Linked DNA regions of Nothobranchius furzeri. Each later gene encodes a partner of the first gene's protein in a complex. Links are inferred from orthologs where the notes say so. Each region holds a gene or a part of one and is shown on either strand. Other genes may lie near its edges.

Region 1 (3,500 bases):
GCGGGCGTGTTGGCCCGGACCACCAGAGGATAATAGGCTGAAAAACCGCCTGGTAGGCCACCCAGGGATGAACTCAATATATGCAATGTGGATGTGAAGCCCCTAGTAGACAGTTCCAGATATCTCAATTTAACCTGAGGCTGGACTGAGACCCCACACCCCCTCCCCGTGTATCAAAATTCCTTTTTTTTTTTATACAGTTCAGAAACACAAACATGATCAGCCTCACCTCACTGTCCAGGAACTCTGAAAGCATCACCAGAATACTCTGGGCGGTATCTTCTGGGACATCTCCCTTGTCCTCAGCCGCTGCGTCGTCCTCCTGCCTCTCAGGTGATTGGTTGGGTTGGGCTGTCGGACTGGAAGCAGTTTCTGAGAGCAGCTGGAAGCCAAACAGCAGCAGCAGGTCGATGATGGACCGCAGAGCGCTGATGCGGATCTTTACCTCATCCAGCTGGGCAATCTGGACAAACAACCACAGAGTTTACCACCGACACTACAAGCCTCTAGCCACAACTACCGCATCACCCATGATGTACCGTGTGTTAACAGGTGAAACAAGTATAATAGCATAATCCAGGCCAATAACTTCTGTACACACACACGCGAGCATTAGTGTATGATATGGCTGGTTGTGTGAACCCACCTGCAGCAGAAGAACCATGTGAGTTTTGGCCAGCTCCTTACTGTGAAGAGTACATGTTCCCAAGCACACCACAGCCATGTTGCGGACGGCAGGATAAGGATTAGCTATGCTCGGCAGAATCTAACAAAAAGAGAGACACTTTAAGTTTAGTTTTGATTCAATTTAAACACGTTGTTGATTTGGTATTAATGTCTAAAGTCTGATCCAAATTAAAACACCAATGTAAATAAAGGATGAGAAACATTTGTCAACACAGACGTTGTTGAAGTTGAATTTTTAATGAAGTTTTCAAGCTAAAAACACTTTTCTAGCTGATGTTTTTCAGCTTTCTGCTGCTTCGTAGGTAAGGATGTTCCGATTCAACGTTTTCACTTCCGATACGATACCGATATTGCCGCCTTCAGCATTGACCGATACAGATATCAATCCGATACGATATCAGTACAATCATACATACTTTTACTTATTTTGTAGGGATGCAACGATACCACTTTTTTTCCTAACCGATACGATACAGATACTTGGATCTGAGTGCTCGTCGATACCGATACAGATACTTCTACCACACAAAAAAATGCAATGAATTGGAATACAGGTTTTATTTTCTTCTGTTTTCAATAGGAAAAGACTGTGAGGTAGATAAAAAGTAATATAAGTGATCACAAAACTAAAATATTAGGTGAACAGAAATGACAACTTACAGTGAAGTCACTTTCAAGCAACTGCATTGGTATCAGTTACTGGTATCTGTTAACTTTTACCGATGCCGATACCGGTATCAGTATCTGTATCGGCACCGATACCAATACCAGTATTGTATCGGTGCATCCCTGTTATTTTGTAGTGTGGAATGTATGAAAGGCTTGATCAAGTGATATTACTCAATCGGAGAACAAGAGCAGATAACAGTAAGTATGAAAAAAATTACAATATATATATTTTTTTTAACCATTGGTTGTAAAATGTGAACCTTAGCTTTTATCTGAGATTTTTGAAGCAGTCCAATATAATCTGATACAGTGTTTTTGGGCCGATATCAAATTACTTCCGTTATCGATATCGGAACGTGACATCCCTAGTTGTAGGCATCGATATCAGATCTTGTTCTGAGTTTAGAGGAGCCTGTGATGGTTAAAGCAGGGTTAGACTTTAGCATCAGTGAACATTTGCTGGAAAGGTCTGTTATCAAAGGAGAGGTCAAACCAATGCCCATCATCGATTTGAGGTCGTATTGGATGACTTCAGTGATTATTGCCATTTTCCTCTTTGCCTCCATCTGACCACTTTTATGTTTTTATTTTATGTCTGCAGTGATCGCTCTGCGGCTCAACACCTCACTGCTGCAACAACTTGGTGCTGCTCAAAAGCAACAAAACTATTTTTTGTGCCTCTACCTCACTCACCTTGATTTCAATCAGTGAAACCAAATTTCCTAGACCACTCTGTTGCCATGGCAGTGAAATGCCACCGATCATCCGGTTTATTTATATGCAGAGTATTAAGTGCTTTGCACTCGCCGTTTATGGCAGAAAGTTCGTGTGTTGAGGTAGGGGTGTGATTTTAAAGTGATTTATAGAGCAGAAACTGCGTGCAGCTGTGTGTAAGCAGTGTTTTATAGGTCGGAAAATGATTTTGCTATATGCATAGATACAGAATTTTTGTAAGGATTCTATACAGTCTTAATAATGAGGCCCCCGCTCATAACTCAGATGTGAACTTGTGGCCATTTTAAATGTGAGTTACTTCTTTTTCTCTAGACGTCCTACATAAAGCGTTAACAAAATTAGCAAAAATTCAACTTTTATACCAGCGAGGACATCAAGGCACTGATGGTTGGACCGATCGGAGTCTTGATGTTCATCTTCTTCAGCAACTCCGCACACATGGTCAGACACCTCAGAAGAGTCTCTGGGTCATTCTGGAAAAAACAATTAATGACAAGAATTCATTTAGCCGCTAGCAGCAAATTATATTACAAAGGCGGAGCTTCCCGTGTCGCTATGTACCTTCTCGGTTCGGACCTCCTTGATGACCGGCTGGTTGCTCTCAGAGATTTCCTGCAGGATTTGGTTCCTGCTGTCCTCAAGTTTGGTGATGGATTCTTTCAGTTCTGCTGCTTGACTGAAGTCCTGGGCAGCGATGCAGTTCTCTAAAGCTTCTTTAGCCTCCATGATGCGGACCTTCACCTCCGCTAACTGGATAGAAATCAAAAAAGGTGAAATAGAGACAAAAGAAGAGTTGGTCTTTTATTGGATAATGCTGGACCAGATTAAACGCTGAGACAGGAATCTGTGACTACAGCAGCCGAGACCCTGGAGACTCGCTTGTGGGTTTTGGACTCACATGGATTTAAACACCTGTGCAAAAGACCAACTTGTTTAGTAGTTACAGCCTCCCAAATCACTGCAGCTGTCTATGAAATCCAAAACTTATAATCTACAAGTTAAAAACCTCCTCTCAACTAGTTGGAATGTGCGCCATCTACAAATATAAAGCATTAGGCTGGAGGAAGAGCAAAATCACTGAAATTTTGTAGATAGAAGGAAATATAACTAATGGAGAGATTAGAAGGAGCAAAACGAAGTCTCAGCTAAAAATTAAGTAAAATAAATAAGATATTGTATCCAGATCTTTTTCTGGATGCTTGAGGAGATCACGTTGTCCAGCGTTACCCACCTGGACCTGCTGTCGGCGGCTCTTGTTCTCATCCACTGGCTGGCTGACCTCCGTGATGGGCTCCATCACATCTGAAATTATCTCTGCCACCTGTTGACAACATGTGCCTCTGTGAAAAACTGGGAGTTGTGTGTTTTCTGACATTTCTACCCTATTAGCAGAGTCCATGAAAATGGAA
Region 2 (4,198 bases), on another chromosome or scaffold:
TTTTTTTTAATTAAATAGAATAGTGGGTGCAGTGATAAATCACTATAGGATGCCAGATTAAATCATAATGGAGAATTGTGATTTTTATCTAGATTTTATCAAGTTAAAACTTGCAAAAAAATGTTATCTTGTGTTGTGTATTCTACAACTGATGGTAAGATACCTGCAGAAGAATAATAAGAAATTAAAACAAATAAAATGAAATACTGTAACATCCGGTTAGGGTGCATCTAATATCAGCAGAACAGATTTAATAAGGTGTTTCTCAGCCAAATGTTTCATTTACATCCATTTGAGAATACCTTATGAAAAGGCCCAAGGATCTGCTCGCCTGCGTACGATTTAAAATTACGATTAACTAGATGCGTGATCATCAGGCGCTGGGCGCCCGGTTCATTGGTCATCGCAGGGGGCGGGGGTGGAGGGATGCTACCGAGAATCTCATCCAAACTCCGGGTATCAACCGCCTCGGCAGCCTCCTCCTGACACGGATCTGTGGCACACAAAAAAGTACAACTTTTAATCTCCTGAGCGAGTCGTTTCAGGTGGAGGCGGGGCCGTCTGTGGTGCATGGGGGAGGGGTAGAGGAGCGCGCACTCACTCACTCACACACACACACACACAAGCACGCGCGCACTCACACAAAAACAAACAAACAAAAACATAAGCAGCAAGTCGCAGTCAAACAACGAGCCCGGAGAAAAGTTGCCGGGCGTTATTTCCCTTTGTTGTGACGGACAGGAGCGAAGCAGAGCAGCACGTCAGAAGGATCCCGCACGATAACGCAAACGCTCTCCCGCACAAGCGCGGATGCGTCACTCCGTCGATGAGAAAAATCGCTAAAGTGGATTTTATTTTGGTGATAAACGACAGGTTTTCATTCGCTGCAGCCAAAACCCTGAGGGGAGAAGCATCTTGTTCGTGGTGATGAGCCCATAACGTCCACCCGATCGTGCTGCCATCGCACCAAGCTACAGCGACCTGTCCAATAATCTATTGTGCTCACAAGCATAAACACGCGAATCAAGTGATGTTTAGGAATCAAATTCCGACAGCAAACGAAGCCCAGTAAAGCTTTTCTACACATTCTGATTAACTTAATAGGGCCCGTGTGAATATTAAGATTATCATAAAATTCATAAACATCACGTTATACGCATTAAAACAATTAGTTTTGATTTACAACACGAAATACTCTTTTAATCGAAATGAATTACCTTGTTTTCCAAAGACATTCGTGGAAGGAGCACATTCGTTGTTAAAATAATCTTGAAAATGAATTTATTGATGAGTGGCACTTTAGGAAAAACCCCACTAAGAGCCATTCTAACTACGTGCTCGAATTTGTGGAAGGAAAAACGCTACAGCTGAGCCATTTGGCCTCTATCAACACAGCACAGCTTATTTAGATTCACAGACGCCAAAACAGCCTTTTGTTACTTGCCAGTTGTCGGCGGTGCCTCCTCTTGGCCATTTGAGTTGGTTTGTAGAGGGGGTACATCCAGCTCGTCCTCCGAGTCATCTCGAGGCTGCAACCCTCTCCTTGTCTTGGTGGAGGCAGTTGAGCTCTTTTGAGTTTTAGATGGCATGATTTGAAATCTGAAGGGGTCATTGGTGAAAAAAGAATATCCATGAGTGGTTTCTGTGCCTGTCAATCTCTAAACTCCGCGTATAGTCGCAGCTACTGAAGTCAGGTTTTATCTTTTTGCCACAAGCACATCTCACTGCCGCTCCTTCAGTTCCCACTCGGTACACATTTTAGCGTACGCTAAAATCAGCTAAAACAACAAATAAGTCTAACTGAGTTACGGTACGATCTCGCGATTAGAATGACGTGATTTAAGAAAATTAAGCTGAAAACTGCTCAGCTGATCTACTTCATAATTTTGATGCTTTTGTGATCATAAAACTAACTAAAATAACAAAACAAGCTAATTTCTTAGCTGAACTTTTTGTTTGTTTGTGACCATCTTAGTCATTTATAAGCGGCACGCTTCGTTTTGGTCGGAAAACGTGAAAATAAGATTAATATCTTGAAAACAAAATACAGTTAATATGCAAATGAGACGATTTCTCTATCCTTAGCGCTTTGTCTTGTCCCATGTTGCATAGCCACGCAGCAGAAGGGCTCTAGCCGAGGTCTCAATCTGACAGTAACATTAAGTTTCCATCCTGGGAGCTCTTCTGTTGGGGGCGGAGGTATAACTGAGCAACCTAAACTCACTGGATAAGCGCGTTCAAATGCATAAAATAACCACCGCATCAATTTAACCTTAAAAAACACGAAACAAACTAACACAAGCAACATAATAGATAACCCTGGCAATGTAGGTCGGGGAGCAACAGCATTAACTCAACCAAAGTCACGTTAACTTTGATCAAAAGGACAAAAACTAGCTTGAAAATAGAAACGGTCCACGTTACACTGCTATTAGATTTGGCAAACAATCTAGATCGAATGTAATATATAACAAATCTTATGAAGTCCTAATTCGCAGCTGATAGACAACACAAGTCTATTTGTATTATTTTTCGGGGTTTCTTCAGTTAAAATGCAGTTCCACATCGTCAGTGGTACTTTTAGTTTGAAACTAACGCTACGCGTTTCAGCAAATAGACGGCACCCAGTCGATCTTCCTCGCTAAGATATCTCCTGGTACCTTCCACAATATCGACGCGGTCCGTGAAAAGTCCTCCTTTCTTTCCCAGGTCGTTGCTCTAAAAAATTCCAGGAAATCCGAACTTCGGCGAATATAATCCATAAAATTCAGCCCTGTAACATTCCGAGTCGGTTTCCTGGTTGAAAATTCTAACTTGTAAATGGCGCCTAAACTGCGCCGTCAAACCAAATTCGTTACAAACTGACGCAAGGCACCATGGACCGTTCAAAGGGCAGGGAAAAAACTCGAAATTCAAAAAAGGGGACGAAGCCAACTCCGCCTCTCCACATCTACAGTATTCATAAAAAGAAAACGGAGAGAATAAAGAGTCGTTGTTCTGGAGTTTAAGATACACAATTTTAAATGACGTTTTGTTGCAAATAAAAACTTTAATCTTGTTCTTTATGTTTACAGTTACAGTAGAAGTGAGTTCCGCCTTTTAAGAATTCGTTTAGTTAAAAAAATGCCCATTACGTTTATTACAATACGTGCAACGTCTGATTTGATTAAAACGTGGCATGTATTAACCGTATATTTATGTGGATGGTATTAACGGGATCTTATTTAAATTTACAAGCATTTTCGAATTTGTTTTCTCGGGAAGATATTTGTAAATCTCGCGATAACTACCGTTTTAAACGTCCTCTCAAATGGCTACCAAAAAGTTAGCCTTACGTTATGACAAATTAGTGCCTGGTGCTGTTTATGGCTGATTTTTACGTTGCTGTTTAATTGAACCGTATTATACGACACGTATGCCTCGCAGGTTCGCTACGGATAAACTCGTTAACTGCAGTATGATGTCGGTGGCTCTCAAGAGGATCGTTAGCACACAAGTTACTGGCACGAGTCCTACCGAGGATTCACATTAGCAACGGTGCCAGCCACCTTAGCAACTGCAGAACACCCAGGGTTTTCCTCCATTAAAGGAACGTTTTACCGCATCAACGGGGTATGTTTATGATGCGTACGCTTAATGTTGTTTTTATGTGTTGTTTTGAATTATTTATTTCATGTATGCCGCATTTGAATAACATGTGTTGTCTGGCATTGTTTTTATTCGTTTAGGAGAGCAAATTCCTACAATGAGACTGAAAACATCGCTGCTAAAGGAACCCAAACATATCCTTTGTATGTTGATATTAGCTTTAGCTATGTCCGTTTTTTTAATCCAGCTCAAACTTGCATTAATTACATCACATATTGTCAGAATTCCTTACCTTTGTCAGCCCCAATGAACACATAACCCAATAAAATCGTTTTTTTTATTTTAAAAGTACCAGAACAAAGATGTTAAACATATTCCAGTTGCAAACACGAGTAATCAAGGAAAAACTGAAAAGTGTTCATTTACAATTTTTACCCTTTTTACATCAGTTACCCTCTTATTCATAAAGCAACATATTGTAAGAGAAGTTTTTTGTTTGCGAGGTAGCGCTTAAAATAGTTGCAAAGCTAGATTGTTAAATAAACAATATGATAGAAAGATGAACATTTATATGTTTCACACCAGGATATATTCTTGTTCTCGTCTCTGT
Region 3 (3,944 bases), on another chromosome or scaffold:
TATATACTGGTTAATATATTTTTGGGTTCAGTTGCTTTCATGTGGCCTAATGTGAGTCTATTTGGGATCATTGGAATGATCAGCAGCATTTCTTGATGTGACTTTATGGCAGTTGCCCAGGGCATCATCGCAAGGAGGATGGCATTCATTTACTTTTGTTTTATTTGGTATTTTTTCAGTCAGTTTTGGAAATAGTGATCAATTTTGATTAATTCACAGCCTATGTTTAATTACATTTAAAATAAATATTAACAGATGAGATCAAACAAAACAGATGAGAATTGCCCTTAAGCTGTTTAACTTGGACCAAGCATTTTAGGTCACAGATAGATGTAGCTTAGGGTCTCTGTCTATACACCTTATAAGACAATTTAGGTGATGGCATGTTGTTTTTCTGCTATTGAACTGTTTTCTAATAATGTTGTGTTAAATAAAGTGAAGGAAGGAGAGAAATAACGTTTCCCTAGCAGTTTTAAAAAATTTCCCCATGTGATCCGATTAATCGTGTCGAGACCCCATCCGATTAATCGATTATCCAAATAATCGTTTGTTGCAGCCCTAGATGAGTTCACTGCACCTCTAACATAACACCTCACCTGTGAGAAGCAGAGTCTGTAAAAGAGGATTCACCAGCAGTTTGAAGGTCAATGACCCTTGATCTCCTGCGCTGACGCCGCTCCTGCTCATCATCATTCCCAGGAAAGGCTGCCATCAGTGGGGTGCTGCAGGCTACAGGAGACTGACCCTTGTTCTTCAGATTGGACAGAGCCCGTCCGGGGTGAACCCGGGAGATGGGGGTGGAGGTTGCACTCATTTTGGCTGCACAAAAAGAAAAAAGTTTTTATAACTGTGTTTAGAGACATTTGGCTTCCAGGAGTTGTTTAAAACATTTAAGTTAGTTTACACTTTTGTTTAGCTTTCACCAGGAAGATTGGAAAGATAAATCAAACCTGTGACAGTGTTTGGACACAAGAACTATTAGACGGGAATATGAAACAACCCGATTCTGGTCCACCAGTGATTTTTCACATGTAGACACAGGTGTGCGAACAGATAAACCCTTTAACAAAGAGCTAGCCTTGGTGCTAAATGAAGCACTCCCCAGTAAACTTTTCACTTTAACATTAGATCTAGATTACCCAATGCAATTTTGTAAAAAAAAAATCGTTCCTCGTTGATGACTATACACGTTTTTACTTCAGTGTTAATAGGCACTATTAATCCTAAACAACAAAAATACGTTTATTGTATGCTAAACACTGCTAGCCTTATGCTAACATTCAACAGCCGTTAGCATAACAACGTTTGCTACAAGTCTCATTAACCCTCTCAGGCTCAAAATAAGTTTTGATAAAAGGACGAACAACTAAGTCCTTCAGGGGTACTTCTGAGTTAAAACATGCTCATGAAATAAGTTTGGGAAGTAACCAGGTAGGTAGGTTTTAACGTTGCAAATCTGCAACGCCTGCCTCCAGAGGGTTAAGATACGATAAAAGTTTACTAAAGTACCCACCCGGACCGCTGCACGAACCTTCAAACTATCCCAATTCAGACGAAGTCGTTATTAAAGTGCGATGCTGCTTTAAACTATTTTAGTTGTTCTTAACGCAACAAAGTGCACTCTTTCTTCCTGTAAAGTTTGAATTTTTGCGCCGGACGGTTTACGTAACACACCAGACGCCATTACGTGACGCCGCGCCCACCATAGACATGAATACGTAGACGCTCATTGGGCGCTGAAGACATATGGCTGGAGTGAGAAACAACGTCGCCGCCATATTGGATGGGTCTCTTCACTCCTTAAAGTTGCCCAGAGTGGGCAACTATGACCGTGTACTGTTAAAAAAAAAAGACCACTTGGGTTTACTAGTGACTTCTCTGGCCTATCTGATAGGATTTTATATTTTAATGTACGTTAATTTATTTTGTGAACTATGTAAGAATTGGACAGTAAAATCATCACAAAACAGTCCAATGTGTCTATCACAGGCAATGTTACAATGACAAGATGTCCTTTTGAGCTGGCTGGGGGAATGCCAGGTTTTTGTTTTCAAAAATTGCTGGGTCGTGACGGTATTTCTGTTAACAAACAGCGCCCCTCTCATCAGAGGCGGAGCTGGCCTAAATGGCGCCCTGTGCGAGATCCCCCGTGACGCCCCCCCCCCCCCCCTACACACACACACAAGAAAAAAAATTACACCTACAACTTTGTTTCAAATTGCGTGGAGTGTATTATATGTAACAACGTTTGCTAACTGAATACAACATCCAGCTCCTGGCCACCTTCTCACCACTTGTCAAAGTTCTACTGAAATAGTGATGATGACAACACCTGCCATCGCCTTCACTCCTGGGAAATATGAAAGTAGTTGGCACCTTGGTAGGTCCTCTTCGAACTAGCTCTGTGCGTATGCTGTCGGTAATTGGTGATGGCCACTTGGCTGGGTCTGAAGAAAGAGGCTCATCATCACCTTCAATGGGACCCATTGGTTGATCGTTCAGGCTTCTCTATTGACAGAAAACAGAAGCGTAACTCAACACATTGCTATGTGGACCATTTCACATATTCTATTAAAATACAATATGTGACATTCAAATTTCTCTAATGTTTGCAGGACACACACACACACACACACACACACACACACACACACACACACACACACACACACACACACACACACACACACACACACACACACACACACACACACTTGTGCAAAACTTACCTGACATATCTTGTTGGGGAGACGTGGCAGCTGGCTGTCCCTCATCAAGTTCACATGTACTGGTAGGTCTCTCTATTGACAGAAAATGGAAGCATAACTCACCACATTGCTATATGGAACAATTCCCATATTCTGTGAAAATACTATTTAAATGTTTATAGCTAAATGTTTGCTGGACACACACACACATGTGCAAAACCCACCTAAAGTATCTTCCTGGGGAGATGTGGTGCCAGCAGACTGTCCCTCCTCAAGTTCAAATACTGGCCTACTGGTACGAGCAGTGGAGGTAGATGGCTGTTCCTCAGTGGCAGCTGATGTCATCCCAAAATATTGTAATAAAAGTAGCCGTGGGCAGCACGGGCAGAACATCTTGCCCTCCGGTCAGAACCTGAACACACCACCAGTAGGCAACGGCTTATAAAAGACACACTTTATTGCACAATCAATAATAAAACACAACGATAAAACACCATGGCCCAAGCCCTCTCTTCTAAAACCAACTGTCCAGCATGAGTCACATAAGCAGCGGTACTTAGCTGTCATGGATGGTGTGACCCCCGTCCCCGGGGTCTGAGCTTCCAACGCCGTCCAACGCCCCGGGGTGTAGCTTGCGAGGACGGCGGGTAAATCCACAACATAAGTCCACTGCCAGAGTCCGTAGCGGCAGATGTCGGCGCGGCCTTGGCATCACCTATGCCCAGCCCTAACTGTCTAAAGAAGGCGACCAGCCTTCCCTCCTGGCGCTGGAACTCCAAACACCTGTTCAGCTATCTTCGTCACCGGCAGCCCTACCCGGCTGCGAACGACCCCACCCCCCAAAGTCCGATGCCACAATGACAGGTCGACCACGCACACCTCTCAGTAGGTCTGTCACCCTTTTATCCTCCCTGGCCTCGTTATCCATAACGAGGACCAGCTGGTGTCCAATCACCACACCCTCGGAGCTCGGCAGCTTCCGTCTTCTGTCCATCACACTCTCCCCCTCTTTGTCCTGAAGGACTCGCCCTCGAGTCCTAGATTTCCACCTGATAATCCTTATACCGAACAGGGGGTCTCCTCTGACGAACCACGCGTTGCTCCACAGCTCCAGGTCCCTCGACCTTCTCAGGGATACGTCCTCCCGATCCTCTTCCAACCGCACCCCCTCAAGCAGCCTCTCCATGCAATGGGGCAGGGTTGCTTGAATCACCGGAGCCCTTCGTCTCCGAAAAC

The links. The genes of interacting proteins can lie anywhere in the genome.
Region 2: ncapg (region 1) and smc4 share a complex: the UniProt entries of both Homo sapiens proteins name them as parts of the condensin complex. The link is inferred for Nothobranchius furzeri from reciprocal best matches to the Homo sapiens genes NCAPG and SMC4.
Region 3: the proteins of ncapg (region 1) and ncaph are in contact, whole or in part, in a crystal structure (PDB 6IGX), measured with the Homo sapiens proteins. The link is inferred for Nothobranchius furzeri from reciprocal best matches to the Homo sapiens genes NCAPG and NCAPH. Residues at the interface, in NP_071741.2 of Homo sapiens: Lys11, Phe14, Arg15, Gln18, His50, Tyr51, Lys53, Tyr54, Val55, Met56, Val57, Glu62, Ala64, Val65, Val68, Phe102, Ser106, Glu108, Ala109, Asn110, Ser111, Val114, Arg115, Ile149, Arg150, Lys152, Asp153, Lys154, Arg159, Glu188; in NP_056156.2 of Homo sapiens: Glu471, Ile472, Asp473, Phe474, Glu475, Asp476, Asp477, Ile478, Phe480, Val482, Tyr483, Phe484, Arg485, Lys486, Thr487, Ala489, Ala490, Thr491, Ile492, Leu493, Gln501, Asn502, Trp503, Ala505, Thr506, Thr507, Leu508, Phe512, Tyr514, Val516.

The regions. Positions count from the first base shown.
Region 1 is NC_091746.1:76,936,186-76,939,685, forward strand, and holds part of ncapg (condensin complex subunit 3), read right to left. Parts: intron 3,413-3,500; coding exon 3,323-3,412; intron 2,842-3,322; coding exon 2,653-2,841; intron 2,565-2,652; coding exon 2,454-2,564; intron 767-2,453; coding exon 647-766; intron 464-646; coding exon 230-463; intron 1-229. UniProt on the Homo sapiens protein: Regulatory subunit of the condensin complex, a complex required for conversion of interphase chromatin into mitotic-like condense chromosomes.
Region 2 is NC_091753.1:52,603,087-52,607,284, reverse strand, and holds the start of smc4 (structural maintenance of chromosomes protein 4), read right to left. Parts: upstream 2,801-4,198; 5' UTR 2,661-2,800; intron 1,796-2,660; exon of another isoform or gene 1,600-1,795; 5' UTR 1,590-1,599; coding exon 1,445-1,589; intron 1,245-1,444; exon of another isoform or gene 1,218-1,244; intron 494-1,217; coding exon 303-493; intron 1-302. Other genes in the region: ift80 (intraflagellar transport protein 80 homolog), read left to right, coding at 3,746-3,785. UniProt on the Homo sapiens protein: Central component of the condensin complex, a complex required for conversion of interphase chromatin into mitotic-like condense chromosomes.
Region 3 is NC_091757.1:27,682,822-27,686,765, reverse strand, and holds the start of ncaph (condensin complex subunit 2), read right to left. Parts: upstream 2,801-3,944; 5' UTR 2,730-2,800; intron 2,651-2,729; exon of another isoform or gene 2,509-2,650; 5' UTR 2,377-2,508; intron 1,675-2,376; exon of another isoform or gene 1,514-1,674; intron 820-1,513; 5' UTR 815-819; coding exon 597-814; intron 1-596. UniProt on the Homo sapiens protein: Regulatory subunit of the condensin complex, a complex required for conversion of interphase chromatin into mitotic-like condense chromosomes.